3 linked regions of the Mus musculus genome follow. The protein of the gene in region 1 purifies or fractionates together with the protein of each later gene. This does not show direct contact. Links are inferred from orthologs where the notes say so. Each region holds a gene or a part of one and is shown in the gene's direction. Other genes may lie near its edges.

The links. Proteins that work in one complex are often made in the same cells at the same time.
Region 2: the proteins of Cops6 (region 1) and Dcaf1 purify together in Homo sapiens (affinity purification with mass spectrometry; 7 studies listed by BioGRID and IntAct, with this or other methods). This does not show direct contact. The link is inferred for Mus musculus from reciprocal best matches to the Homo sapiens genes COPS6 and DCAF1.
Region 3: the proteins of Cops6 (region 1) and Dcaf8 purify together in Homo sapiens (affinity purification with mass spectrometry; 3 studies listed by BioGRID and IntAct, with this or other methods). This does not show direct contact. The link is inferred for Mus musculus from reciprocal best matches to the Homo sapiens genes COPS6 and DCAF8.

What each region holds. Positions count from the first base shown.
Region 1 is NC_000071.6:138,156,777-138,167,038, forward strand, and holds Cops6 (COP9 signalosome complex subunit 6), read left to right. Parts: upstream 1-4,325; 5' UTR 4,326-4,336; coding exon 4,337-4,406; intron 4,407-4,598; coding exon 4,599-4,721; intron 4,722-4,897; coding exon 4,898-5,029; intron 5,030-5,360; coding exon 5,361-5,449; intron 5,450-5,545; coding exon 5,546-5,608; intron 5,609-5,958; coding exon 5,959-6,006; intron 6,007-6,353; coding exon 6,354-6,468; intron 6,469-6,550; coding exon 6,551-6,643; intron 6,644-6,732; coding exon 6,733-6,833; intron 6,834-6,959; coding exon 6,960-7,100; 3' UTR 7,101-7,208; downstream 7,209-10,262. Other genes in the region: DNA replication licensing factor MCM7, read right to left, coding at 7,943-8,144, 8,276-8,385, 9,134-9,302, 9,907-9,990. UniProt on the Homo sapiens protein: Component of the COP9 signalosome complex (CSN), a complex involved in various cellular and developmental processes.
Region 2 is NC_000075.6:106,818,362-106,828,596, forward strand, and holds the start of Dcaf1 (DDB1- and CUL4-associated factor 1), read left to right. Parts: upstream 1-3,562; 5' UTR 3,563-3,730; intron 3,731-10,235. UniProt on the Homo sapiens protein: Acts both as a substrate recognition component of E3 ubiquitin-protein ligase complexes and as an atypical serine/threonine-protein kinase, playing key roles in various processes such as cell cycle, telomerase regulation and histone modification.
Region 3 is NC_000067.6:172,144,464-172,154,687, forward strand, and holds the start of Dcaf8 (DDB1- and CUL4-associated factor 8), read left to right. Parts: upstream 1-3,551; 5' UTR 3,552-3,875; exon of another isoform or gene 3,876-4,658; intron 4,659-4,785; 5' UTR 4,786-4,858; intron 4,859-10,224. UniProt on the Homo sapiens protein: May function as a substrate receptor for CUL4-DDB1 E3 ubiquitin-protein ligase complex.

The sequences.
Region 1 (10,262 bases):
GACAGAGGCAGGTAGATTTCTGAGTTCGAGGCCAGGCTGGTCACAGAGTGAGTTCCAGACAGCCAGGGCTACATAGAGAAACCCTGTCTCAAAAAAAGCAAGACAAAAAATTATTTTAATAGATTTAATATTTATTTGAAGATTTAGTATTTTAATGAGTGTTTTTCTCCTGCATACACACACACATACACACACACCTGATTCAGATATAGGTCAGATGAAGCCATCACATCTTCTGGAACTGGAGTTACGGTAATGAGTGGCCATATGAGTGCATGGAATCTGGGTCCTCTGGAAGAGCAGCCAGTACTTTTTTTTTTTTTAAAGATTTACTTATTATTATTATTATATCTAAGTACACTGTAGCTGTCTTCAGATGCCCCAGAAGAGGGCGTCAGATCTCATTACAGATGGTTGTGAGCCACCATGTGGTTGCTGGGATTTGAACTCAGGATCTTCGAAAGAGCAGTCAGTGCTCTTAACCACTGAGCCATCTCTCCAGCCCACAGCTTTGCTTTTAGATTGCTTGACTAGCCTGGCTGAAGCCCTGGGTCCCCATCCCCAATGGTGCATAAACCAGACAATATGGTACAGTACTGTATTCCTAGCATTTGGGAGGTGGTGGCAGGAAGATCAAGGACTCAAGTTCGTTCTTCAGTACATACTGAGTTCAAAGCCAGCTTGGGCTACATGAGACACATAAGTGATTCTGCACTTACGAGCCTGACGTGGGGTACACATCTGTAATTGCAGTACTTTAGAGCCTGAAACAGAAAGATAGTCAAAAGTTTGAGGCCAGCCTCAATTGCACACTAAAACTCGGTCTCAAAACAAATGATAATAATTAACAAACACATATTTAAAATGAGCTTCCTATAAAGGCTCACATTTGGGGTTCAAGAGGTACCCTGAGACATATTGTGGTTTGGGGGTAAACAATTTATTTTAAGCATTATTAATGCTACAGAGATTGTGCTGGAAGTTGTGAAGAGATTTCAGGCCGGGAGACTAACAGGAGTAAGGAGTACTATTGCATCTTACAGGTTTTAGAGAGGTAGGTAACCCCATTCCATGTCATGAATGACTAGTCAATAGTACACGATAGAGGCACGCACTCTTATTCCAGGACTGGAGTTCATTTCCCAGTACCCATGTCTGTACACTCACAACCACCTATGACTCTAGCTCCAAGGGAAAGAGGAAAAGTTTGTTTCTTTAGCTAATGCGTGTCTATCATATGAGATGTGCCGCCTGTAACCGCCGATTGCTGGGGTTTGGTGCACCGCCTTAGGGGAAGTGAGGATTGCAGACTGGTCAGAGTTTATTTTTTATTTTTTGCAGAAGCTGTGAGGATGAAGAAAGAGGCTCTGCAAGTCAGTATAGCCTGACTAGTCCTAAGCCCAAGCCTAACATGTTCCAATAGACTCTTTTACTTAGTCAATTAATTAATTAAACAGGGTATCATTCTGAAACTCTAGCTGTCCTCTGACCTATGCTGGGGTATGCACATTATACACACACATACACACACACTTACACACTCAAAATAGAGTAAAAAACAAAGGTGTTCTTCTATACACTATTATTGTTTTGTTTTTCTTTCTTTCATTCGTTTTGTTTGTTTGTTTGTTTGTTTGTTTGTTTGTTTTTCGAGACAGGGTTTCTCTGTGTAGCCCTGGCTGTCCTGGAACTCACTCTGTAGACTAGGCTGGCCTCGAACTCAGAAATCCTCCTGCCTCTGCCTCCCAAGTGCTGGGATTAAAGGTGTGCCCCACCACACCCAGCTTGTTTTGTTTTTCGAGGCAGGGTGTCTTAGTCAGGGTTTCTATTCCTGCACAAACATCATGACCAAGAAGTAAGTTGGGGAGGAAAGGGTTTATTCAGCTTACACTTCCACATTGCTGTTCATCACCAAAGGAGGTCAGGACTGGAACTCAAGCAGGTCAGGAAGCAGGAGCCGATGCAGAGGCCATGGAGGGATGTTCTTTACTGGCTTGCTTCTCCTGGCTTGCTCAGCCTGCTCTCTTATAGAACCCAAGACTTCCAGCCCAGAGATGGTCCCACCCACAAGGGGCCTTTCCCCCTTGATCACTAATTGAGAAAATATCCCACAGCTGGATCTCATGGAGGTACTTCCCCAACTGAAGCTCTTTCTCTGTGATAACCCCAGCCTGAGTCAAGTTGACACATAAAATCAGCCAGTACACAGGGTTTCTCTGTGTAGCCCTGGCTGTTCTGGCATTTGGTTTGTAGACCAGGCTGGCCTCAAACTCCAGAGATCTGCCTGCCTCTGCCTCCGGAGTATTAGGACTACAGGTGTGTTCCACCACTGCCTGACTTTTTAATACATTATTAAAATCTGCAAAAAAAAAAAAAAATCATTCCAAGACAGATGAAGGGAACCCAGCTTTCCTTGAGCTCTAGACAGGGGTTGAGTGTTTTAAGAATATTGTTAAATTGCTGTTAGCACTAATGATGACCTTCCCTTCCTTCAGTTTTTCCTCTAATGGAAATCTCTTTAGGTTTATAGTATAAAAACTCCCAAGGTTTATTTTCATGTAACTAACCAAAGACATTGGGAATAGGGCAACTTAACTATCTAATTATCATCTATTGTACCCATCTCTCTCACTGTCCAGGCTGCCCTGAGGAAAAGGACTGTCAGTCTCATAAGTTAGCTAGATGACCCTTAGACTAGCACCAGCAATCTGGGACACACAACAGAAGTCTTGAGACAGCTGTGTAAAGATTGAAGCTGATTTTCCAGTGTATTTGACATAGTTGTTACCAGATATTTTGCTGTCATAGACCCCTATGAAATGTAGATGAACCTGAAAGCATTTCCAGCGTGACAGGAAGGGAGCCCTTTCCCTAGTGGAAGGACTACTGCGAATCAGTGCAAAGCCATGATTGGTCCAAAGCACATACTTCAGTGACTGTGATTAGTAAAAAAAATAAATAAATAAAAATAAAAAGTAGCCCGGGCGGTGGTGGCGCACACCTTTAATCCCAGCACTTGGCAGATTTCTGAGTTCAAGGCCAGCCTGGTCTACAAAGTGAGTTCCAGGACAGCCAGGGCTATACAGAGAAACCCTGTCTCGAAAAACCAAAATAAAAATTTAAAAAAATGGCTGTTATTGGCCCCAAATGAATGATTGTGGACCAAATACTCTTTCTTGGCTATTTAAGCAGGTCGCTTAGCCTTAGTTATTGTCCAAGTAGGAAACGTTTTCTTTTATTTTTATTTTTATTTTTATTTTTTTTATTTTGGAACTCACTCTGTAGACCAGGCTGGCCTCGAACTCAGAAATCCGCCTGCCTCTGCCTCCCAAGTGCTGGGATTAAAGGCGTGTGCCACCATGCTGGGCAAGTAATTGTCTTTTTTTTTTTTTTTTTTTTTTGGTTTTCTTTTTTGTTACAAGTAATTGTCTTAATCACTGTTCTATTGCTGTAAAGAGACACCATGACCAAGGCAACTCTTCCCCTCCCCCCACCTTTTTTTTTTTGTTTGTGCGACAGGGTTTGTTTGTGTAGCTTTGGCTGTGATGGAACTCACTTTGTAGTCCAGGCTGGCCTTGAACTCATGAGGTCTGCCCGCCTCGATTAAAGGCTGTGATTAAAGGCGTGGGCCACAAGCCCTCCCAATAGCAGTTGCTAAGTTGTGTAAAGAGGTTGTCTTGAAACTGAAGAAGCTGAACAATTCAAGAGTAATTACTACTGGGGAGATGGCTCAGGGGATGAAGTGTTAGGACCTGAGTTTAGATCCTCAGTACATCGTTTTAAAAGCTAGGCATGCTGGGTATGGTACACACCTTTAATCTCAGCATTCAGGAAGGAGAGGAAGGCGGATCTCCTAGAAGTCTGCCTAGACGAATAGCAAGTTCCCACCAGCTGGCCAACATTGTAAGACCCTATCTCAACAAACAAGTGATCAAGTCTCTATAGATTATATGCAACATGAAAAATTTTATATCCTGAATAAATTGTCTTCCCCATTCCCTTTTACAGCCTTTCCTCCTTTTGATCGCAATTTTCTCTGTGTTTAGTATTGACAGTGTATCCACTTGAGACCTGGAAACTAATAGCCCTCCTTGGGAGGTAAAGGCAAGAGGATCAAAGTTCAAAGCCATCTTCAGATACACACTACAGAACTCATGGCCAGGCTGGTTTACATGAGAACCGCTAGCAGCAGCACAACACGCAGAGCACCCTGAGCTACTAAGTACTGGCAGCTGCCCCGCCCATTAGCAGCACCAAGTATACACTGAGCATGCACCGCTCCCCGACGGAAGCCGAGAAGGAAAGGGGCGGGCCGTGGCTGGCGGGCGCGGGGAAAATGGCGGCGGCAGCTGCGGCGGGGGCGAATGGGAGCGGAGGCAGCAGCGGCATGGAAGTGGATGCAGCAGGTAACGGGGTGCGCAGACCGACTTCTGGAGTTGCCCTTGAGAAGTGGTCTTGAGTACTTCTTAAACCTGTCCCAGGATAACTTGAGGGCAGCGATGGACGGCCGGGCTCTGCTGGTCCCCTGCTTCCATGTCTAGGGGAAAATGTGTGGGCCCGAGCTCTCAGCCGCTATGTTTTCCTTTCACCTTTAACAGTCCCCAGCGTGATGGCCTCCGGAGTGACTGGGAGTGTTTCCGTCGCTCTTCATCCCCTTGTCATCCTTAACATCTCAGACCATTGGATCCGCATGCGCTCCCAGGAGGGGCGGCCTATGCAGGGTGAGTGTTGTGTGTAAATCTCAAAATCTCTTGGAGATTTCCTCCAGTCACTCCCCTGCGCCCTTTCTTCCAAATTATTGTTTCCCCAGTCGTTGATTCACGCCGACTCGGGAAAGGTTTTCCGAGACGCCTGTTCCTCACCTAGTTTCCTTGCGCTTCTGTTTCTCTCCCCTTAGTGATTGGGGCTCTGATCGGGAAGCAGGAGGGGCGAAATATCGAAGTGATGAACTCCTTTGAGCTGCTGTCCCACACCGTGGAAGAGAAGATTATCATTGACAAAGAATATTATTACACCAAGGAGGAGCAGTGTGAGAGGGGAATAGAAGTGGGTGGGGAAGGAAAAGTGGGAAGATTTTTGTTTTGTTTTGTTTGTCTTAAAGAATAAAAGGCCTGAGGATGTAGGGCAGTGGGGTAAAGTGCATTTCCTAACATTCGGGAAGACCAGAGTTCAATCCTCAGTACCATATAACCCAGGAGATAGAGGCAAGAGGTCAGAAGTTCAAGGTTAGTTAGGTGTAGTTATTTTAAACTGACCCAAAATATGAGGAGGGAGGGGAGAACCGGAAAGAACACACCAGGCCCATCAAACTAAGGAAGAGAGGTTTAAAGGAATATTTACTCTGGCCCCTTCTTCTCCAGTTAAACAGGTTTTCAAGGAGCTGGAGTTTCTGGGTTGGTATACCACAGGGGGGCCACCTGACCCCTCAGACATCCACGTCCATAAGCAGGTATAGAAGCTCAAATATGTGCATGTTGGGGAAATGAACAGAAGGTTAGGGGAAGAGGAGATACTGACTCTTCCTGGGCTTTGCCTTATCTTCTAGGTGTGTGAGATAATTGAGAGTCCGCTCTTTCTGAAGTTGAACCCTATGACCAAGCACACAGATGTGAGTGTTGTTGACCCAATGTCCCCTTTTTCTTGATCATCTGCCACTATGCCTTTGCTCTAATTTACCGACATTATGTGTATTAGAGAAAGCTTGAGTTGAATCTCTACCCTGCTGTTTACACCCATCAGTTGTGTGACTTCATCTCTTCAGTGGTGTTTCCATATGTAATGTGTGTAAAACCTAGAGAAAGCATGAGCCAAGTGTGGTGACAACACTTGTAACCAATCTTAGCACTCAGGAGATTGAGGCAGGATTGTGAGTTCAAAGCCAGCCTGGCATGTGTGTAAGTTCAAGTGCATTTGCTTTTAGTAAGAGCTGTTCTCTTGTCTCCGTCTGTGTTTTTACAGCTTCCTGTCAGCGTTTTTGAGTCTGTCATCGATATAATCAATGGAGAGGTAATATATAACCTGCAACCTTCAAACCTTTTAGCCTGTTTCCTGCATGCCGTGTGCAGGCATAGGACAACCCTGGGTGTCCATCCTAGCTTTCTACCTTGGGACAGACTCACTTGTTTGCCAGGCAGGTTGGCCTGTGAGCTTCTGGGAATTGTGTCTCCACTTCCCATCTTGCTGTAGGGGTTCCAGGATTACAGTCACATGCTGTCACATCTCACTTAATGTGGGTTCCGAGGCTCTAAATTGAGATCCTCAGTTGTGCAGCAAGTACTCTACCTGCTGAGCCATCTGCCTAGGCCTAGGTCTGTTTCCTGACTCTCCCTATCTGAGAACTCTTTACTCTGCAGGCCACAATGCTGTTTGCTGAGCTCACTTACACTCTGGCCACTGAGGAAGCTGAACGGATCGGTGTAGACCACGTGGCCCGGATGACAGCAACAGGCAGTGGGGAGAACTCCACTGGTAAGGGAGGGGAATTCAGTCTTTGGAGGTAGGGGTTGGGTGTGGCCACAGGCCGCCCTTCATTTGCCCCATTCCCCTGCAGTGGCTGAACACCTGATAGCTCAGCATAGTGCCATCAAGATGCTGCACAGCCGTGTGAAGCTCATTTTAGAATATGTCAAGGCCTCTGAAGCAGGTAGGAGAGGTGCCTGTCACTTTGAAACATTTTTCCTCTCCTGGAAAAGTGACAGCATCCACATCAGTGCAGCCTCCTTGTGTCCTTAGGAGAGGTTCCCTTCAACCATGAGATCCTGCGGGAGGCCTATGCCCTATGTCACTGTCTTCCAGTTCTCAGCACTGACAAGTTCAAGACAGACTTTTATGATGTGAGTGTTGACACCTTTGATGGGGAGGTGGGGCTCACACCACCTCACAGGTAGGAGGTGAAACTCAAGTGTCACTGGCTAATACGAGGGACCCCTGGGGAACTGGTTCTTTGTGTTCCCTCCCAGCAATGCAATGACGTGGGGCTCATGGCCTACCTCGGCACCATCACCAAAACGTGCAACACAATGAACCAGTTTGTGAACAAGTTCAACGTCCTCTACGACCGACAAGGCATTGGCCGGCGAATGCGGGGACTGTTTTTCTGATGATGGTTCTGGAAGGGATGGTGTGTGGGGCTCAGACAGCTGTTCCATGGACCTGAGTACCACATTCCCTTTAGAGAAACTCATTAATAAAAGAGCAGCCCCTTAGCAGCCCTTCCAGTGGCTTTGTCCTCTCAGGCACCACACTGGTTTCTCAACATGGACTCTTAAGGAAGCTTCACCCATTAATCCACATTTTTTGACCACCTACCCACCTTTTAATGACTCGAGGTGACCCCTTGTTGAAGTAGACAAAATGTGATAGGACGACCTGCTTGCTTCCAGTTTTTGTGCTCTGTGATCAATTCATGTCACAGCTCCACAGAAAGATTGCTTTCCCAGGCTAATTTAATTTCACTGCAAATGTTTCTCAAATAGGAAGGGGAGGGAAGCTGAATTCCATCTTTGTAATTGTGGTTATCTCAAGTCCTTGTTTTTCTATATCCTGAAGGTACCTAGGAGGGTGATATGTACCTCATCCTTAGGCCTTCCACTTAAGTCATACCTTGTGCTAGGCGCAACTTTCTGCCCTTCACATCCTGGTGTCATCACGTCTAGATGTGGGGGTCTAACAAACGAAATGTCCATAATTGGAAGCATCTCAAGAAACAGTGGTCCCAAGGCCTTCTATCTCCCAGATTGACTAGCACATAGTAAGGGTCAGTACTAGAGACTAGGGGAGGAGAGAGCATACTAAAAACTCTACAGAGTTATTAACAAGCAAGAGGCAATCAAAACACTTTATTGGCAGAATAAAAAAGTGCAGCATGGGAGAATGAGATTTTTTCTTGAGGGGGCATTCAGCATGCCCTCTGGTGTAGGCAGGAGGGTGTAAAAACTGGCTATCAGACAAAGGTGATCCGTGTCCGAGAAGTATTAACCTGCCAGACATTTAGCTCCTCATATTCATCCAGAGCTGCCTGGAACTGGGCTGGTGTGAAGCCACGAGATATGCAGCGCTGTTCAGCCTCAGAAAAGTGGACACTCCGCCCCCGTGACACCAATTCACGGATGGTGGCAAATATCACATCTGCTGGCCTCTGGGTCCTAAAAGACAAGGATGGAAAAGGTGAAGGTGCAAGGCCACAAACAGTAGCAGCAATCAGCATCAAAACCCTGAGGGCAAGCCAGGTCAATAAGCCCAGTGGTCCAGTCTCACTCTTCATTAAAATCCTCACCTAGCTGTCTGTCCCTTTTCACCTAGAAGGGAGTCCTTCGACATCTCCATCAACCTTATGGCTTCATTTACATCTTCCTTCTCCACAATGTCTACCATCCGAAGTCGAGCCTAAGGGGAAGGCATAGAAAAGATTGGGATAGGAGGGGAGGAGGGGAATGAAGTCAAGGATCTTTCTTTGCTCCAGCTTCAAGCCTGGGCAAGCCACATTTGCCTACTCATTGAACAAAAATGGGGACTCCTCCCTGCCCCCCCACATCTGCAGTGTTGGGCCGGCACTGTCAGACCGAGACAAGTGCAATGCCCAGGGCAGCGTCCAGCAATTGCCCAAGTCTCCGCCTCTCAACACTGGCCAGTCCCGGTGGGTGTTCAGCTGTCCTGTGAGGGAGACCAGACCCTTCTGAACTCCACTAGGCTCCCCATCAAACAAATGGAGCCTGGGGCGCTCAGCTAGGGCCACTATCAGAGGTTGTGTCCTGGGGGCTCGGGAAGTGCTAGCTCAGCAGTAGGTCAGGTAATTACACTACCTGCACGAACAGCACTTTGGAGCCCCCATGACTAAGGTCCAAGAGGGGAGGACAGAATGGAGATTTCTAAGATCATATCTAGGACACCAGGAATTCAAGTCCTAGCCCTCATGGATTCAAGCAGCAAGCAGCCTTTCCCTCCATGGGCGTTGCACGTGCCCTGCTGGAGCAGCAAGTACCCACAGTGCGGTAGCACAGAGAGGACCACTATCTGCACTGTCAGCACTTTAGTCCCAGCAGGGCTGGTAGGAGGGAAGGAGGCGGCTTGAGGGTCATTAGGTGAGGTGGCAGGCAGGGGTCAGCTTTCCAGCTGACAGGGACCCACCACTCACCAGAGCAGTGGAAAGTCGGAGAATGGCCAGCAGGGTCCGGGCAGAAGTATAGGTGGCATCCTTACTGGCCCGGGCCTCTCGCCTCATCTCCACATATGCTGCGGTGATGTAGTCAGCCAGAGATTCAGGCACTGTGGGCTGTCTCTCGTGGCACATGGCTATGTACCGTCTGTGGGAAACAAGGTTCATGGGAAAGCGGGAAAGCAGGCAGGCTTTATGAGATTCCCCACTTAATATTCTATGCTGACGTGGACAGTGAGGGATTTCTCCAAAACAGGGCTGCCAGGACACTTCAAGTAACTTCCAACTTTTCAGGAGAATGACATTTACCAAAGCACCTGTAGTGGGAGGATTTAACTTAACCCCTTGACAGACTTCAGAGACCATGTGAAAACCAGTTTAGAAACCCGAGTCATCTGTGCCATGGAAGCACTTATGGCCAAAAAGCTAGACCTGCCTCGGACAGGATTTAGAGAGTGAGAGAGGTTCCTTTATATACAGGAGGGAAGTAGTTTTTGGAGACATCCCCAAAATGACTCAGGTTTCAGAGTAGCTAGGATTATATAAGGCCTGCTGCTCTGTCATCCCAAAACAGAAAAAAAGTTTCTGATGATCCCTTGGCTACAGAGAGACCCAGGCTCAGCTACTTTTGAGGCTGAAATAGATAAGCAGATGAGTCCTTTCAAGACTCAATGCTTTCCAGACACACTTGGCATAAGACAATGCCACAGACCAGTACTCTCCCCAGACATACCCATCTCCACCCCTCCTACCTCATAAGTTTCATGTCCAAAGGTTCAAATTGGGCAGGGGGCTGCCGGCTGTGCTGGTGGACATAGGTGATGTGCTGGGCCAACCTGGAGAGAAGACGGGCGTCAGTCTTTAGAGCTCTAACACCCTGAGAATCTTGACTCAGTATCCCCTTTTAGCACCACCTCTTCTCCAAAGCATGGCAGACAGGCCTCCCAGAAAACCCTCAAGATCTTAGCTCCAACCTATCTCCATATGAACTGCAAACAAGGAAAGGTGTTTAAGGTGTCTGCACACAGACAAGTTGAGTGGCTTTCTGATTTTACCTCCCTGCCCCAAAGTCACTAAAATGGGCTGTCTCTATGGGTGTCATCTACTT
Region 2 (10,235 bases), on another chromosome or scaffold:
ACAAACAATCCAGGACAAAATGCTCCTTTTAAAGATTCAGATCCAATGTGCCAGAATCAAGCTAGGTGCGCAGGCCTGGGTTATCTGTGGTTTTGTGTTTCTGTGTGCTTAGGCGTGAAAGTTGGCTCTAAACACGGGTGCCTAATACATACACACACACACACACACACACTTTTCTATCTAGCCATGTGGGTAATACCCCTCCTGTGAAATAGCCAATGATTGAATCTGGAATATGTAGCTAGGGACGCCTGGGTGCTGCTCTTTCTTTCCAGAATGGGAGTCTGGAGTGCTTGGCCGCATGTGGCTGTGGTTTTACACAGTGTTCAGAGTGAGGGAGAGAGGGCTGCAAAAGTTCTAGGGTGGAGATTATTTTTGGAGACAAGGTCTCATGTGTCTCACGTTTGCCTCAAAGTTGGTGTGTTAGCCAAGGATGATCTTGAATTTTTGATCCTCACCTCTCCACTCATGTGCTGGGACTGGCGGCTTGCACTGCCATGTCCAGCTCTTTCTTTTCTTCTCTTCTCTTCTCTTCTCTTCTCTTCTCTTCTCTTCTCTTCTCTTCTCTTTTCTTTTCTTTCTCTCTCTCTCTCTTTCTTTTTGGTTTTTTTGAGACACGGTTTCTCTGTGCAGCCCTGGCTGTCCTGGAACTCACTCTGTAGATCAGGCTGGCCTCGAACTCAGAAATCCGCCTGCCTCTGCCTCCCAAGTGCTGGGATTAAAGGCGTGCGCCACCACTGCCTGGCTGATTTTTTTTTTTTTTCAACATAGGGTTTTTTTTGAGTGGCCCTGGGTGTCCTGGAATTCTCTCTATAGACCAGGTTGGCCTCAAACTCTAGAGATTTTCCTGACTCTGCCTCCTGAGTGCTGGGTTTAAAGGTGTGCGTCACTGTTGCCTGGCATGGTAGATATTCTTGAGGGAGTTGCTTCTAGACAGGCCCTGTATTTCTGCTTTTCTACTACAATCCCATTTGATGCCCCTTAAGACCTCCAATCCAGTACCCCCACACTGGGTTCCTAAAGTGGGGTAGTGCCATCTGGTGACAGAATGAGGTAGCAACTCCTGCTTTGATGAACTGGGCTTTGGGTCCTCACAAGGGCTCTTGCATCTAGACCACAGGAAGAGGTAAGGTATCCAAGGGATTGAGGATACCTGGAGGAGCCATCCCTCTACATTTTGGGCTTATAGCCCAAGAAGATATGGCAGGAAAGCTGCCTGAAATAGTATTTTAGGTGTTGTGAACTCTCTTTTTTAAGATAAAAATGTAGCTGGTCACAGTGGTACACGCCTTTATTTGCAGCACTTGGAATGCAGAGGCAGGGGAATGTCTGTGATTTCAGTGCCAGAGCTGGTCTACACAGGGGAGTACGGGACAGCTGGAGCTGGATATCGAGGCTCTGTCTTGAAAAAAAAATTAAAGATTTATTTATGTATACAAGTGTTGTACTTGCATTTATGTAGGTGCACTCCATGCATGTATGATGCCCAGAGGCCAGAAGAGGGCGTCTGATCCCCTGGAACTGAATTTCCAGGTGGTTGTGAAACCATTTGGGTACTGGGAATCAAATCCTGGTCCTCTGAAGAGCAGCCAATGCTCTTTCATGTTAGGCTCTCTCCAGCCCCCAAATCTGTATCTTTTTTTGTCTGTCTGTCTGTTTTGAGGCATTATCTATCTAAATGTAGCTCTGGCTATCCTGGAACTCAATGTGTACACCAGGCTGGCCTCTAACTCAGAGATCCACCTGCCTCTGCCTCACATGTGCTGGGATTAAAGGCATGTGACACCATGCCCAGCGAAACTCTTCATTCAACATTACTACTTTTGATTTCTCCTCCATAAAGTTGGCTAGCCTTATCTGCCCTGGTGTTGAGAATAATGAGTGTAATTAAAACATTTGATTTAGGGATGGAGAGGTGGCTGAGCAGGTAAGAGCACTGACTGCTCTTCCAGAGGTCCTGAGTTCAATTCCCAGCAACCACATAGTGGCTCACAACCATCTGTAATGGGATCTGATGCTCTCTCCTGGTGTGTCTGAAGAGAGTGACAGGCTACTCACATAAAATAAATAAATCTTAAAAAAAAAACCATTTGATTCAAGTCTGCTATAGAGTCTAAATAAATAATGGTCATTATAGCTCAAGAGACAAGATTTCAGATGCACAGGAGAAAGCTGTGTTGTAGCAAGAGCGTGATTACAAGTTATATGCCTGTAGCACTGCTATTCACCCTCTAGAATTTGTATTTCAAGCAGCTGTTACTCCAAGCACATAATTGAGTGAGGAAGGAACGAAGTGCTCAGGTGGGTGGGGGTAGGGTGGTAGTGGATTTAAGCCCTAAGATACTGGCTGCTGCTTTTCTCTTTCTTTCTTTCTTTCTTTCTTTCTTTCTTTCTTTCTTTCTTTCTTTCTTTCTTGCTTGCTTGCTTGCTTGCTTGCTTGCTTGCTTGCTTGCTTGCTTGCTTGCTTGCTTGCTTTTCTTTCTTTTCTTTCTTTGTCTCTTCTTCTTCCCCTTCCTCTTCCTGCTTTTTTTTTTTTTTTTTCCAGAGGGAAATCTCTGTAGCCCTGGCTGTCCTGGAACTCACTCTGTAGACCAGGCTGGTCTTGAACTCAGAGATCCGCCTGCCTCTGTTTCCCAAGTGCTGGGATTAAAGGCATGCGCCACTGCCACTACCACTCTTCTGATACAGGCTTAGTAACAGCCGTAGAATCTGATCATGACAAGAGGTCCACAGTGTCTTATAATTTCCACAAGAACGTATTGGCTGTAATCGCTCTATGGAAACGCACAGAACTCGCTCAGAATGCCAAGAACAATAGTGAGTTGCATGAATCCTGACGTCTGGGTAGGTTTTGTCAAGATTCTGCTCAATTGTGGAGTTATCGTAATCTTCCATGTTATCACACAGAATCGCTGGGTCAAAACCAGATCCTTCCGATGCAGCTTCCCTTTGGTTTGTGAAGTTAGGCAAGTCATTTACTGTGGGTTTCATTTTCCTTAACTCTAAAATTGATAAATTGAATTAGATGGCCTCCGTGATTAGTTGTTTTCACCAAAGGGCTTTCATTTTTCTGCCTCACATATAATACATGGTAACTGATGTTTTTTGATTCCTGTCGAATATGTTTTTAACAGAAAGACAAAGGAAAACCGACGAATTTCTAACGAGTACAGTTGTTTCTGAATACATTTGTGTGAAATGCATTCTTTGACCCTGGCATCCTTCCGAGCCTGATGTGGCAGTGTCCTACTGAGCCCTTAGATGACACAGGGTAGAATTAAGTAAATTCGGGCAGCCCGGGCTTTTAGAAAGATCTATTCCTTCCTTTACTTTTCACTTCCGCCTTAAAGAAAACTACGAATCCCAGAAGTCAATGCGCTGAGGTGGTGCTTAATGGTAGGTCTAGCGCCATCATCCCTCCCCCGCCCTTAAACGCGGAAACTTCATTTCCCAGGAGCGCTTTGATGTCCCTCGGCTCCTCCCCCTTCCCCGCTCCGGAGCCTCGCGCCAACGTTACACACCCGCGCGCGCTGAGTGCGCGCGCGACCAGTACGTAGCCTGCGAGTGACGCATAATATGTGGGCCGCTCAGGAGCCGTGGTCGCGCTGTGTGTGTGTATATGTGTGTGTGTGAGTGAGTGAGGGAGAGTGAGTGCGGGACCAGAGGCAGTGTGTGAGAACCGTGGCCGCTGGAGGGGTCGGGGGGAGAAGCGGCGGAGCCGCTCGCGAAGGTGAGCGGGGTTAGGAAGGGGCCGGCTCTCTGGCAGGGGCACGAGGAGAGCGAGCGCGCGGCCCGCTGGGCGGGAGAGTGGGCGCCGCGCTGGGGGGAGGGGCGGCACCTGCTTCGGCTGCGGGCGGCGAGGGGCTGGGCGAGCCCACCGAGGCGGCTGGGCCCGGGGCCTGACGAGGCTCTCCTTCCGAGCCCGGGCCCGGGCCCGGGGGCGGGGCCTCCGGCTCCTTCCTCCCGTCCTGTAAAGAAGCCTCTTTAGAGTAACTCTTCCGCCGGGGTGTGGAGGGCAGGGGATGCTCGCCTCTACCTAAAGGAGGTGCTCTTTGAATCTCTCTCTTCCACTCCAAGTCTCTGTCCCTCACGGGACGAGGGGCATCTTCTTTCCCATGCCGCCCGGCGGACCCCTTCAGGAACGGTGTCCCCGCCTCCAGCCTCAGTCACCTGGGCGGGCTTTTCCCTCGGTCGGCTCCGTGCCACCTCCCACTTGCACCCTCCCGGCTCTCCGACCGGGGAGGGGGCGGAGCTCGGCGGGAACCCCTCCCACTTGTACAATGCAGTAGCGAGGGGACGGGGAGAGAGGTATGTGGGTGTCCAGACGCCCAGAGTCTGACCTAAGGTTGCCTGCCAGGTTTCCCCAGCGCTTATTCCGAGGGCTTTTAGTTGTTTGTTGGGCTTTCAAGGGCATTTGCCATACTTTGTCTTCTGTTCCTAGAAAGTGTCGGTCCGTTTCCTCTTACTGCTGTGGTTTTAACATTTGATGAGGAAATACTCTTGCGGTGTGTCTAGTAGTAGTTTTTGAGGAACAAATGACTCGTTTTTTGTTTATCTTACGTTGCTCTTTTTTTTTTTTTTTTCCCGGAGCTCATTGTAGTCTAGGCTGGCTTCGAACTAAGATATCCTTTTATCTCTGCCTCTAGTATTGTAATTAAAGGCGTCTGTTACCACTGCCGGGTTTGCTGTTTTTTTTTTTTTTTTTTTTTTAACTTTCAGGCAAAGACTTTTAAGTAGCATGCACGTTTTAACTTATTGTAGCACTATCTTCCTATTGCAAGCTTTTGAAGGCTTTTTTTCTCCTTGGATTTACTGGCATTTACCTTCAAGGCTTTTATAAGCATATGTACATTTCAGTCTGATCTCAAGATTTGTGTTTTTGTTTTTTGAGACAGGGTTTCTCTGTGTAGCCTTGGTTGCCTTGAAACTCAGTTTAGACTAGCCTGGCCTCGAACTCAGATCTGCCTGCTTCTGCTTCCCCGAGCACTGGGATTAAAAGTGTAAACCAGCCGGATGGTGGTGGTGCATGCCTTTAATCCCAGCACTTGGGAGGCAGAGGCAGGCGGATTTCTGAGTTCAAAGCCAGCCTGGTCTACAGAGTGAGTTCCAGGACAGCCAGGGCTACACAGAGAAACCTTGTCTTGAAAAACCAAAAAAAAAAAAAGTGTAAACCAGCACTGCCCCACCTTAAGATTTGTGTTTGTATATAGCAGTTACTCATTAACCATTTCGAACTGGGATTTTTTTGGGTTGTTAAGGTAATTTGAGGAACTTTTTTGAGCATAGTATTTACTGTTAACAGTGTTGTGTATTTGTTATTTTTTTTTTTCTCAGAAATCCACCTGCCTCTGCCTCCCAAGTGCTGGGATTAAAGGGATGGGCCACCACTGCCTAGCATAGCCCCTCAAACTTTTAAGTAGGAAACTAAAAATAAGTGATAATCTTTCAGTTTCAACTGTTAACTGCTTGCTGTATCTTCTTGTGTTAATTTTATGGAATTTGAGCTGGTAGGTACATCACCTCTAAATACTTTGTACACATTCTTATGAGTGAGGAAATTTCATGTGTATAAATTGATATTTTAAACATTTACGAATTCATATTCTGTAATATAGAATTTTCACTAGCTCCCACAACTGTTTCTATTTAATAGAGAAGTTGAGTTTTTTTTCCCCCAAACAATTTGATACTTAGAGAAGTTAAGTAAGAATTCACAGACATTTCAGCAGAGTTGGGATTTGAGTTCTTTTAAATTGTTAATTCTTTTCTGGGATGTGTCATTTGTGTGGTCTTGAAAATCTCTCTAACTCATTTCCTTATCCATAAAAGTCACCTCACAGGGTGGCTGTGAAAATTAAGCATGTAAGTTAGTTAATTACTTAGCTCAATGTCCTGGGCTAGATATCCCAACTTGGTGACCATTGATTGTATCATCATTAGGTGTGTGTCATAACTTTTTGCATGATTCTTATAAAAAAAACATTGTAGTGGTTTATTTAAGCATTCTGGAGGCAGAGACAAGCAGATCTTTTATGTGTTCAAGGCTAGCCTGTTCTATAGAGGCTAGCTAGGGGTACATAGTTAGACTCCTGCCCTCCAAAGAAAGTATGAATTAAATGATGCATACCCACTATATTACTCCAAACAAAATGATACCTTATAAATTTTGTATTAAAGCCTTTTGATGGATGGGTCACACTCATGGTATTTATTTATTTATTTATTAGATATTTTCTTTATATACATTTCAAATGCTATCCCAAAAGTTCCCTATACCCTCCCTCCGCCCTGCTCCCCTACCCACCCACTCCCGCTTCTTGGCCCTGGCATTCCCCTGTACTGGGGCATATAAAGTTTGCAATACCAAGCGGCCTCTCTTCCCAGTGATGGCCGACTAGGCCATCTTCTGCTACGTATGCAGCTAGAAATACGAGCTCTGGGGGGGGGGTGTACTGGTTAGTTCATATTGTTGTTCCACCTATAGGGTTGCAGACTCCTTCTGCTCCTTGGGTGCTTTCTCTAGCTTCTCCATTGGGGGGCCCTGTGTTCCATCTTATAGATGACTGTGAGCATCCATTTCTGTATTTGCCAGGCACTGGCATAGCCTCATACGAGACAGGTATAACAGGGTCCCTTCAGCAAAATCTTTCTGGCATATGGGTTTTTAAAAAAATTTTTTTAAAGATTTATTTTATGTACGAGTATACTATAACTGTCTTCAGACACACCAGAAGAGGGCATCAGTTCTCATTACAGATGGTTGTGAGCCACCATGTGGTTGCTGGGAATTGAACTCAGGACCTTTGGAAGAACAGTCAGTGCACTTAACCACTAAGCCATCTCTCCAGCCCCATGCTATTTTTTATTTATATTATATATGTATGTATTTATTTAGGTATTTATTGAGACAAGGTCTCTACAAAGTACTGGCTGTCCTGGACCTCACTGTGTAGACCAGGCTATCCTCAAACTCAGTCTCTGTGTCCTGAGTGCTGAAATTAAATGTGGGCACTACTACAACACATTCATGCTTAAAAAATATTTTTAACATTTATTTTTGTGTGGATGGGTATGGGCATGCTTATGTGGAAGGCAAAGAACAACTTGGGAATATGTATTTTCCCCTTCCATAATACAGGTTAGGTTCATATTTCCCCCAGGAAAGTCATTTTTCAACAGTTACAGTGAACATTAGACAGGGATCACTAGAAAATAACACTGGCCGGGAGGTGGTGGTGCATGCCTTTAATCCCAGCACTTGGGAGGCAGAGGCAGGCAGATTTCTGAGTTCGAGCCCAGCCTGGTCTACAAAGTGAGTTCCAGGACAGCCAGGGCTACACAGAGAAACCCTGTCTCGAAAAAACCAAAAATAAAAAATAAGAAAAGGAAAATACCACTGATGTATCATACAGACTCAGGATTAAACCTAGGGGGCTTTCTAAATGCTAGGTAAGCCACTTAATGACATCAGTGGGTGGAGAGTTGTCTTAGCTTTTAAAAGCACTTGCTATTCTTGTAGAGGAACTAGTTCAGTTTCCAACACCCATGGCAGCTCACAACAGTCCACTTCATAGTTCTTGTTCTAGGATATCCTATGCCCTCTCTGTCATCTACAAATATATACATATATAGGCAAACACTCATACACATAAAAAAAGTTATGTCTTAGTATGTGTAAATGGAGGGCACTTGTATTTGTGGTTTGCATTTAGAGATCAGAAGACAATTTTTGGGCTTCAGTTCTTTCTACCATGTGGGTCTCAGGGATCAAACTGGTCATCAGTTTAAACAGCAGGCACATTTACTACTGAGTTACATGGCAGGCCTTTGTTTTATTTAAACTCACTATAGCCAAAAATAACCTTGACTTTCCCCCCTATATGTTTTCCTTAGTAACTCCTTTGTGTGTGTGTGTTTCTGCATGTATGTTTCGTTTGACTGTTGACTACTTTATAGTCTTGTCTCCCTTACAAGTATATGCCATCATGCCTGTGTAGCTCTGGCTGTCCAGGAACTTGTTCTGTAAACAAGGCTTCCCTTGAACTCAGAGATCTGCCTGCCTATGTATGACTCCTAAGTGCTAGAATTAAAGGTGTATGGGTATGGTACCACCAGATTGAGTTTATATATAGGTATTTGTATATGTTACTTTATAATATATACATAATATATTTATATACAATATACTTGTATAAATACATGCATAATATACATAAATACACACACACATATGAGCACAGACCCAGGGTTTTGTGGTGGTAGGCAAATGCTTTATTACAGTAGAGCTGGATCTGCAGCCTCTGTGTGTGTTTCTAAGTTGAGTTGTAATATTTTACTTTTTACTTTTTTTTTTTTTTTTAAGATTTTATTTATTTCCGGGCAGTGGTGGCACACGCCTTTAATCCCAGCACTTGGGAGGCAGAGGCAGGCGGATTTCTGAGTTCGAGGCTGGTGTGGTCTACAAAGTGAGTTCCAGGGCTATACAGAGAAACCCTGTCTTGAAAAACCAAAAAAAAAAAAAAAAAGATTTTATTTATTAATGTGTATAAGTTCTGAATCTGCATATAAACCTACATACTAGAAGAGGGTATTAGATCTCAGTACAGATGGTTGTGAACCATCATGTGGTTGCTGGGAATTGAACTCAGCAATCTGGAGGAGCAGTCAATGCTCTTAACAGCTGAGCCATATCTCCAGCCCCAAAGTTTACTGTTTTAATGCCTCTGAGTTCACATTCATTACAGCTGCTTTCTTGTTCTTTAAAAACATTTTTTTCTTTAAATTGTGCTTTAAAACTTTTTCTTTAAATTTTCTTTAAAATGTGGAGGAACCTTGAAAATGTTAATGCATCAGGCATGATGGTACACTTGTGATCCCAGGCCTCAGGATGCTAAAGTTGAACCGCCATGAGTTTAAGTTCAAATTGCATAGTAACATTTTATCTCAAAACCAACCCAACCCAACCCAACCCTATGGGCCCCCTTGAGTGACAGGCCCAAAAGGCCTAGGACTCAGGAAGCTGGACTAGGAATATTGAAGGTTCAGGGTCTACTTGGGGGACAGATTAAGGACAACCTGGGCAACCTTTTCTTGTCTCAAAACAACAACAACAAAATTCTACAAAACCCCCAAAAAACCTAAACTAAAATATCAACAACCCTAAACAAACACTGGGGATGTAGCTCAGTGTTAGAGTGATTGCTTACCATGTTTGACTCTAGAATTCCTAGTATCAAACATCAAAATAAACCAAGCTTTAGGGATATAGTTCAGTAATATTACTGAGTTCTTAACATGAGCAAGGCCCTGGCCCTTTACTGTCAAGAACAGAAAAAGTGCCAAGTGGAAGAAAGTGAAAACAGTAAAAATTAACAATGTGTGTGTGTTCCAGAAGGCTCATTGCTTAAGGGCATTCCTTCATTGTTTTCCTCCTTTTTTTTTTTTTTTTTTTTTTTAAATCAAGATAGGGTTTCTCTGCATAGCCCTGTATCCCTGGCTATCCTTGAACTCTTTGTAGACTACCTTAGCTTCAGACTCAGAGATCTACCTGCCTTTGCCTCCCAAGTGCCAGAACTAAAGGCGTGCATCCTCCACACCTGGCTTGTTCTTTTTGAGACAGAATCTTTATCTTTCAGCATGTAGTCCTTCCTGACTGTCCTGGAACTTAGACAGATGGTCCTGCTTTTGCCTCTGGGATTAAAGGCATTTGTGATAGCGCATCTGGCTTTTTTTTTTTTTAATTTATTTTATTTTTTTAAACCTCCATTAAAAATATGGGAAAAAATGGCTGAAGAGATGGCTCAGTGGTTAAGAGCACTGACTGTTCTTACAAAGGTCCTGAGTTCAATTCCCAGCAACTACTTGATGGCTCACAACCATCTATATTGGGATCCGATGCCCTCTTCTGGTGTATCTGAAGACAGACAGCTACAATGTATTTGTAGACATAGAATAAATAATTCTTCAAAAAATATGAAAAAAATGAAAAGGGCTGGATTATTCTTACATGGTAGAGCAGTTGTCTAGCATGCATGAAGCTCTGAGTTCAAGCCTCAGCACTTTTATAACTTACTGTGATGGTTACATATCTCTAATTCTAGTACTTGGGAGATAGAGGTAGGAGGATAAAAAATCAAGGTAATTCTTGGGTACCGAGTTTAAAATTATCCTGTCTCAAAAAAAAAAGTAACCTAGTGTGGTGACTTCATAGTGAGAGCTAGGTCAGCTGGAGCTGC
Region 3 (10,224 bases), on another chromosome or scaffold:
CTCAATGATAACACCAAAAGCACTATAGAGCAAAGCCAGGGAGCCTAGAGTATTAGCCCAAAGTGCTCCTTGCCTAGTCACCATATTCAAAATCTGTACATTTCTTGGTTTGGACCAGGCCATGCTCTGGGTTTCCTTCAATCCTAAACGAAGACCGTTCATTGCCCCGAATGCGGCCCCTGTCATGCAACATCCTCCAATGGTAAAGAAAGCTAGTTCAAATCTGCCTCGGGTTTTATTAGCTCCAGTTGGCAAAATAAATTCATCAGTATCCTGAACGAGATAGCGTGGATCCACATTTAAATAAGGAGACAGGGGGTTCATACCAGTCAGCGGGACGCCGGCCAAATCAGCGTTCGAGTAACCCGCTCCTCCGGCTCCGAAGAAGCCAGCTAACCCGCTGGTGGATTTGTTGCTACTTCCTCCGCCACCTTCCATGAGGTCGCAGCAAACGGCGGTGGGCTCGCCACCACCTCCTCAGGCCGGGGACGTATGCTCGGCCCAGTCTAGATAATTTTGACTTTCGTTATGTGATGAGAAAGTAATGGATGTTTTGGGTAGGGGACTATGACCTGACTTACATCTTAAAAGTCACTCAGCTGCCTGACGTTTGCTCGTATGAGGGCACTAATGGAGATAGACAAACTAGCTGGAGTAGTTACTCTCCAAATGGCTGGACAAATTATGTGAGTGAAGCACTGATTTCAGCTTAGAGTTTGAGGGGACATCATTCATCATGATGGGGAGAGCGCGGCAGCTGGAGGCTTGCTGGACACATTGTGTTCAGAAACAGTAATAAATGCTGGTACTCGATTTACTTTCTGTATATTCAGCCAAGCCCCTCAGCTTATGGAATGATGTCACCCACAATTAGGTGGGTCTTCCCACCTCAATTAGCCTAATCTAGGTAATCCCTCACAGGCATGCCTAGAGGCTTGCCTGCTAACTAATTATAGATCTTGTCGAGTTAACAGTATTAATTACCACATGTCTACTTCAGCAAGTAGTCAACAAGAGACAGCTTGGGATAGAATGTATCTGGCAATGGAGCTCAGTTTATAGAGTGCTTGCCTAGTATCCACGAAGGCCTCAGTTTGATTCCCAACAACGAATAAAATCAGACATAGTGGCACATGCCCGACCCTCGGGAGATGGAGGCAGCAGTTTCAGAAGTGAATTTGAAGCTATTCTGAGCTACTCTCGTTCCTGTCTCAAAACACCTGGGAGGAGGGGAATGGTATTGGTATGGGGTAGAGTTGAGGAGTCTGTACTTAGTACCTTAACCTTCTGGTTAAAAGAAAGAGAGGCCGAAGACGTAGTTTGGTTGTTAGGGTACTTGTTCAACATGCCCAAAAGCCCCGTGGCTCCACCTCCAGCACTGCATAAACCAGCAATGGCGATGCTTCCCTGTAATCCCGGCTCTGGAGGTAGAGGCGGGATACAGCCTGGGATGCAGGAGACCCACCTAAAACATCTTCAACAACCTTGGTGTTCTGAGTCACACCAAAGGAAACAGCGCAGGATGAAACTTGGCCTTGCAGGCATCAGGAAGAGTCAGCCTCTGTGGACTGAGTACTGAACATCTGCCCAAAAGTATGTTTACTGATTGTTACACAAGTTGTTCTTTTTTTTTTCCGGGGCAGGGGGGAATAAATTCCTTTATACTAAAGACCCTAAAAAGCTCTATGTTTCCTGAAGAAAACCACCCTACAACTCTAGTCCTTACTGTGTACTGTTTGCAATCCTCGATAATGCAAGGTATTGCAGGTGTGCCAGGACCATCTTGTGACCCAGAAGTCACTGAAAGACTGTAAAGCTCCTTCAGAAGAACAACCCCATAGATGAGAGAAAGCACCTCGGTTTTCTATAAGGATCTTTTTCAAGGTCAAATTACTTCCAAAAAAGCCGGGAAGTGGTGGCGCACGCCTTTAGTCTTGGCACTTGGGAAGCAGAGGCAGGCAGATTTTTGAGTTCAAGGCCAGTCTGGTCTACAAAGTGAGTTCCAGGACAGCCAGGGCAAGGAAACCCTGTCTGGAAAAACAAACAAAACAAAACAAAAACATTACTTCCAGGAAAAAAAACTCTTCATTCTGATGTCTACCCTAAACAGTGAAAAACAATTATTTTATTCTACTGCCTACCCTGGATATAATGATCCTACTAGATTTTTCTGCTACAAATAAGAATGCTCCAGCCTGCTAGCTAGGAGTAATCTGGAATCCTAGAATCCTGGTTAGGTTTCCTTTAGGTGTCAGCAGAAAGTAGTGTACAGAGGTTACCTAAAACCAGCAACCTGCAGAGTTATGTGGCGTATCCATGTTTTAGCTGTATTTTCACAACAGCTAAATTATGAATAAACCTAGATATTTATCAACAGATGAATGAATTAAAGAAAATATAGAATATATACACAATAGGATCCATCAACTATGAAGAATGAAATAGTATTTGCAGATTATAAACAACATAAGTTAGACTCAGAAAGACAAATATGGCATGTCCTCTCCCATATGCAGAATCTGGATTTAAGTTCATGTATACATATGTCTATTAATTACACACACGTATTCATATTTAACAACAAAGTAGACAGGAGACTGAGAGGCAAGGAAGAGATATAAAGAGAGTTGAAGGAAAGCTAAGAAAAGAGAATGGAGTATACACTAGTCACAAAACTTAGTGGTAGTTATTGGAGGAAGGTAACCAAGAAGGGGAAAATGAGTGGGAAGGGGGCCATGAAGAAACAGGCATGACACATACATATGAAAATGCCACATGGAAACCTATTGCGTGTGTGTGTGTGTGTGTGTGTGTGTGTTGGGGATCGGGGAAGGACTTATTCTAGCCCCGAACTTACTATCCGTTGTTCTAGGTTGACCTCCAACTTGTGTATATCCTGTCTCAGCCTCCTGAGTGCTAGTTTGTAACCTGTTAGTTTGTATGCTCATTTAAAAAATTAAACTCTGCAGCGTTGAGCGCCTTTAATCCTAATCCCAGCGCCTGAGAGGCAGAGGCAGGTGGGTGATCTCTGTGAGATCTACAGTTCCAGGACAGCCCGGGTAGAAAGATCCTGTTTCAAATGAATAAATAAATCCTGTTTCTAAGCCGTGTCACTCCCACCCCCAGGTGTGGGGATCAAACTTTTAAAACTTTTAGACCCTTAGGAAGCATTCCAACATCCCCAAACCTTAGTGACTCTTTTAAACAAATGGACAAATGGGTGCTGGCAGAAGGCCTCTTAAGAAGCCATTGAAGGAAATGCAGCTTTGAGCCTGAAAGGAGAAAGGGGTTTTTCTTTAAACAAGGAAACAAACAAACAAAAAAATATGGCAAGAATTAGAACCTCAGGCCTGGAGGACACCTAGAAGTTTGCCTGCCAGAGCCTTTGGAATGAGGTTCATTTTCCGGCACAACTCCAAGGAGCCCCTAGATCGCATGTGTTTTGAATACCAGGAGACAAGCCATCACTCTCAAAGTACGAAAACAACTTGACTCCTCCGCCCCGCGCACGCGCCCCTCGCGGCTTCGGTTGGCCCGAGGCTCCGCCCCTTGTGCGGCCACCGGGAGGGTTGGGAGCCCAGAGCTCGCGGGACCGCTCTCGCTCAGTCTCCTCCAGCACAGCGTCGCAAACCCCGCCGGAAAGCGTGACGGCGCAGGCGCAGGCGCGGAGACCCGAGACGGTGGTGGTGGCTGCCGCTGGCCAGTGTAAGATGGCGGCGGCGTTGGTGGCGGCAGTGGACGGGGCGGCTGGGCCTGGAACAGTCGGAGCATCCGCTGGCAGAAGGATGACCCTAGATGGGAAGCGGGCTGCCGGGCCTCGCCAGCTCCCGTGCTTGTAACTGCCCCAGCCGGACGCCCTCCCCTTGACCTACCGGGTCCGTGTTTCGTCCGGCTCGGCCTGTTCCCCCCTCTCCCTGACCGCTTCCCCGCAGGACAGGCCCGATCCCTTTCCTAAAACTCCCGGACTTTAAGTCTTACTCCCCTCCTCCGAGTCGGTGCTGGGAGGACTCGTCCTCTGCCCGGGTCGGTCCACGGGGTTGCCCCCTAGGGCCAACCCCATGACTCACAGGGGCTTCTCGTTCGTCCGGTGACCCATTCGTAAACTCTCATTTCTCCCTTTATAATTTGGGGACCCGGCTCTGTTGGCGTCTCCTAGTCACTTCAGGGCCACCGCGCAGTGTGCCCCCTTCCCCCATCCCAAGATCTCAGGCCCAGCACCTCGTACGGAAGGCCGAGGTCCAAGAAACTGGCAGTCTGTTCTTGAATGCTTTGTGATCTAGTTCTCTTAATGTACTTCCCCTCCCCGTGTCCCGAAATCTTTTAGGACACCTTAGAACGGTCCCGCTTGGTCCTTATTAGTTGGAAAGCATCTGGCGGCTTGAATTTCTGACTCATGATTGTTGGTGTAGTCTGTAAACAAACCCGCACTAGAGCGATCACATTCTCCCGCGGATTCTCCCCTCCCCCCCCCTGCTCCGGAGTTTGCTTGAGACGGGTGGTTTGGTTTAAGAGTTGAAAAGATACAGGTTTTCCTCATAAGTGACTCTTTAGCCTTGGTGGAGCTGGGAGATAACTTTGCCTGGCGTTTAAATCTTGTGTTAATCCTTTGTGTTTCCATTACGGGCATGGGTTTTGTTCAGTAGTCAGAATTGAGTTAGGTAAGTTGTTTTGGTTTTAAATAGTTGTGAGGAGACTTTAAAAAAAAAAACATTAAAGTGTGGTCATAAATATTTTGGCTACTTTCAGAAGAGACGCCTTTGCCATGTAAACTTTCACTTTTCTCAGTTCTTCAGCGAACCTCCAGACCAGTTTTCTCAGGATCTTGGGCCTGACTTCGGTCGGCGATAAAAGCAGGAAGGTGAGTGGCATTGAAGGCGTTTAATTCCTCAATTCAAGACCCTTTCCTCATGCGAAAGTGCAGACCGCTAAACTCAACAATTGTTACCCCTGTTTCCGCAAGTTTGGATATTGTTAGCAGCTTTGTTACAATTTTGGTTAAATTTCTTACAAATTTAATTGGCTGTATTTTGACCTGCTGCCCGACACTGTTGTTGTGTGTCTTCAAATGGCTTAAGCGTCGAGTGAGCAGTCTGCACCTCGTTTTCTATTCCCCCGTTATTTATTTGCATTGTGTTTTGTCTTCCCGTGGATCTTGTCTTAGACTGTTAAAACATAGAGAACTGGGTTGCCTGAATTCTGTTTAGCCTTTTGTCAAGTCAGATCTGTTCTCCCAAACCCAGAACTTATCATCCATGCCATCTGGAGAGTAATTAACCACTCCTGACTAAAAGCTAGGATCGAAGAGTGAGCCTCCATTTAGTTGGTATCTAAGTCCAGTTAGCCTCAGAGGCACAACTTTTCAAAAGGTAGTGGGATTTCTTTTCTTTCTTTCTTCCTTTCTCTCTCTCTCTCTCCCTTCCTTCCTTTTCTTTTCTTTTCTTTTCTTTTCTTTTCTTTTCTTTTCTTTTCTTTCTTTCTTAAAAGCAGTTCCTTTTGTAGCTAACTTGCAGATTATTGGTCAGTAGAAGAATCATGTGCTTTCAGCAACAAGGAGAGGGAGCCGGAACACAGTTGTCAGTATGGTTCCTACAAGGCTTGTAGATTGCTCGTAGCAGAGGGTAGGACTGTGCTTGAGACTGGCAAGACTTAGTAGAGAAGCCCCCTGACTCTTTAAGGTAGGTTTGACCAATCCTAGTACCTTTGGGATTTGTACTGGGAAAAGTTTGAGAGTGGCTATGCTAAGTTTTGTTCCCCGTGGTGCTCAAAACTAGAAAATGTTCATTATGAAGTAACATAAAAACTTTGAATGCGGATGCATGTATGTAAGATGTAAGAGTAAGCTTTTACATTTTAATTTGGTTTTATGTCTGGGTGTTTTACCTGCATGGCTGTCTGTGCAACGCTTGCATGACTCATGCTGGAGACGATCAGAAGAGGGTCTCAGATCCCTGGAACTGAAGGTATAGGTAGCTGTGAGCTGCCATGTGGGTGCTGTGAACTGAATCTGGGTCCTCTGCAAGAACAGCCAGTACTCTAAAACAGTGAACCATTTCTTTCTTTCTTTCTTTCTTTCTTTCTTTCTTTCTTTCTTTCTTTCTTTCTTTCTTTCTTTCTTTTTTCAAAGATTTATTTCATTTATATGGGTACACTGTAGCTGTCTTCACACACCAGAAGAGGGCACTGGATCCCATTACAGATGGTCGTGAGCCACCATGTGGTTGCTGGGAATTGAACTCAGGACCTCTGGAAGAGCAAGCAGCCAGTGCTCTTCACCGCTGAGTCACCTCCAGCCCCAGTGAACCATTTCTTCAGCTTGTTTATTTGACTTTTGAGACAGGAACTCACTTTATCCCAGGCTGACCTGAAATTTATAATGCACACCAGGCTGGTCTTGCAAACTTGTCTCACCTAGCCTCCTAAGTACTGGTGTACTGGTGTGAGGCACCAATCATAGGTAATACATAACAGGTGTTTGCTTTGTACCCATCTTTCTATTTTGTTTGTTTTCTTTTAAGAACTAGGGCCTAAGAGCCGGCTGTGGTGGCGCACGCCTTTATTCCCAGCACTCGGGAGGCAGAGACAGGCGGATTTCTGAGTTCAAGGCCAGCCTGGTCTACAAAGTGAATTCCAGTACAGCCAGGGCTACACAAAGAAACCCTGTCTTGAAAAACAAAACAAAAACAACAACAACAACAAAAGAACTGGGGCCAAGGCTGATGGTGGTAGTCCATTAGTCCATGCCTTTGATCCCAGCACTTGGAAACAGATGCAGGTGGATCTCTGATTTTGAGGCCAGCATTGTCTACAAAGTGAGTTCCAGGACAGCCAGAGCTACATAGTGAGACCTGTCTCAAACAAAGAAACAAAACTTGGGGTTTTCAGGTAAACTAAGCAAGCTCTCTGCTGCTGGGCCACAGCCTCTGCCCCTCAGATTCATGTTTAAGATTTATGTGCCTGTGTCTGTGTGGGGATGGATGTATGTGAGGGTAGTGCCTGTGGAGGCTAGGACAGAAGAAGGGACCAGATCCTTTGGGGCTGGAGTTAATAGTTGTGAACTGTTGTGTGGCTTCCAGAAACTAAACTCAGAGCCTCTTCGAGAGCAGTAAGCACTTTAATTGCTGTCCCCTCAAATTCAGTTTTATTGTTCATATTATTTGTTTGTTTTGTGAATGTCTTGTAGGATGCCTTCTAAACCTGATTTCTGAGCGTCAGAATAGGAAATGTTTACATATGTGTATTTCTAAATGCTTTTGTTGTTGTTGTTGTTTTCCTTCCCTGAGACAGGGTTTCTCTGTGTAGCCTGGCTGTCCTGGAACTCACTCTGTAAACCAGGCTGGCCTCGAAAAATCCATCTGCTCTGCCTCCCAAGTGCTGGGATTAAAGGCGTGCACCACCACTGCCCATCTCTAAATGTATTCTTAAACTAAATGTCAATTATTTCTTTGTTGGTTGGTTTCTTCCTCTTGGCCTGTTAGCATACCTTACAGAGTATGGTCTCTTTCCTTTCCCTTCTGCTGTAATGGCCACTGGTGCTGCAGCTAGCCACTGAATGCTTAACTTGTGCTACCAAGAGAGACACATTTTTTTTCCCAAGATTATGAGCTCAGAGGTGAGCCTCACCAACAGATTATTAAGAATGTGACAAGGGCTGGGCAGTGGTGGAGCACGCCTTTAATCCCAGCACTTAGTGGGCAGAGGCAGGAGGATTTCTGAATCGAGGCCAGCCTGGTCTGGTATTTCAGAGAGTTCCAGGATAGCCAGGGCTACACAGAGAAACCCTGTCTCGAAAAACAAACAAAACAAAACAAAAAGTGAGAAGGAAATGCTCTTGTTTTTTAACATGAATCAGGGCTAGGAATAAACACTCATCTCTTCTTCTCATGGTTACACCATCTTAAGACAGTTCAGGTAAAGAGTTTTAAATCTTTTTGTTTTGTTTTTCTTTTATATCTGTTTTGGAAGAGTTGAGGGCTCATAAGAGTTGAAGTTTTGATGACAGGACAGTGTAAAGGCAGTGTCATTCACATCAGTGAGGGGAGGGCTGATTAGCTTTTGTCCCTGTCATCCAGGGGACAGATTCTCTGTTGTAATGTCAAGACTCTCGGCAGTGCTCGTGAACTAGGCGCTGTATTTTATGAGATCTGCTTTTTGTGTTTCATGAAGAGGGTGGAGGAGAAAAGGAAATATGTTGGAAGAATAACTTAACTATTCCTTACTGCCTTGTGTACTGGATAAGGACAGCCCACCATTCAATCCCCAGACTTTCAGGAAAGATTTCAGGTGGCATCTTTATATGCATTGAACCTTTTTTTTTTTTTTTTTTTTCTGAGACAGGGTTTCTCTGTGTAGCCTTGGCTGTCCTGGAACTCACTCTGTAGACCAGGCTGGCCTCGAACTCAGAAATCCACCTGCCTCTGCCTTCCGAGTGCTGGGATTAAAGGCGTGCACCACCATGCCCGGCTGCATTGAACCATTCTTAGTCTGTGTATTACAACTGTAAAATTCTTGTCTCTCTAAGGCTATTTCAGAGTTATAATTATTGCCAAAGAACAAGGAGTTTTTATTGTTTTTTTTTCTCTCTCTTTAAGAGTCCCATGTAGCCCAAATTGATCTCAAGTTCAATATATAACTGAGGATGGCCTTGAACTTCTGCTCTTCCTGTCTCTACCTTCCTCATATCATCATAAGCATGTATGCCATCCTGGTTTTATTTACGTGAGACAGGGTCTCACACTAACTCAGCCTCATCCTGAGCTCACTGTGTAACTCAGACTGGAGACCTCACCCTGCGTATTCTGATTCAGTCTCTTGAGTGCTAGGATTATAGGCACGGATGACTACACCTGGCTACGTTCCTGGTCTTTAAAATCAAGTGACTAGCTAAACCATGCTTTCAGAAGACTTCCTACTGTACTGGTTTTGCTGTATAAAAGTTATTCTCACCATGTCCAGGAAATAGCTAGATTATGACAAAGCCACAAGGGTCCCAGGTACTGGGTGTTGTGACATACACCTTTAATCCCAGCAGTCTGGAGGCTGAGGCAGGAGAGTTGTATGGATAGTCAGAGCTATGAAGAGAGACCCTATCTGAAAAGGGATCCAAACTGAAGCTTTTATTATATAACATTGGCATTAGAAGGGTGTTTAAATTTGTTTATTTATGGAGTTGGCTTTTCAGTCTTTGAGATTGAATCTTTCTTTTTTTCTTTTTTTCTTTAAGTAGATTATCAGCAAGCAGAGATAATCTGTTACTCAACTCCCCCATTTAGAACTCAGGTACCCGAGTGAATCAGATCCGTAGCTTGCAGGTCTTCTAACCGTTCGTACAGTAGGCTTCTGTTATTTGGAATTTGGATTTTTTTTCTTGTCAACCATGGAATGAAGATATTAATTGGTAAAGTACAGAATTAAGCAATCCGTAAGCTTTAAATTGTGTGCTTTTCTGAGCTGAAAGATGGGATTTACCCCAGCCTTTCTGGGACCTGGACCATCTTTTTGGGTGCTGTGTCTAAGCTGTCATCACTAACCATCTCTTAGTCACTTTCCCCATTGTCAGGGCACCTGTGCTACTCACATTAGTGTGCATGATAAGTAGATGGCACTCAGTGCAAGGATAGTGATGCCAGCAACTCCGGCTACAAGAGCAGCTGTAAAGGCCTCCTTTAAGTGAAAAGACAAAAGTTCCCAGTAAGGGGAAGGTAGGTATATGCCTGTGATACCAGATACTCAGAAGCCCAAGGCAAGAGAATTTTGAGTTAAAGGCCATCGTCCCTCAATTCTCTCTCCCCCAAAGAAAAGAACAAGAATCTTATGCTATAGTTTCCAAGATGTGCAATAAAGTATTCTCAGAGAGAAAACTTACATTGGTATAATTTTTTTTTAAAGATTTGTAGCCGGGCAGTGGTGGCATTCCTCTTTATTTCCAGTACTTGGGAGTCAGGGGCATGCAGATCTCTTGAGTTTGAGGCCATCTTGGTCTACAGAGTGAGCCAGGACAGCTAGTGTTAAATGGAGAAACCCTGTCTCTAGAAAATAAGAAAATACTTTTTGCTATGTTCATGTGTGTTGTGCAACAAATGTTTTCCTGGGAAGAAACAGCATAGGCCTTACTCAAGCATACCAGCCAGGGGAGCCCAGTCTTGTCTCAAACTACTTGAGAGTAATCTTGAACTTCGAACCTTCTAAGTGCTGCAGTTACTGGCGTGAGCCACCAGTACAGACTTG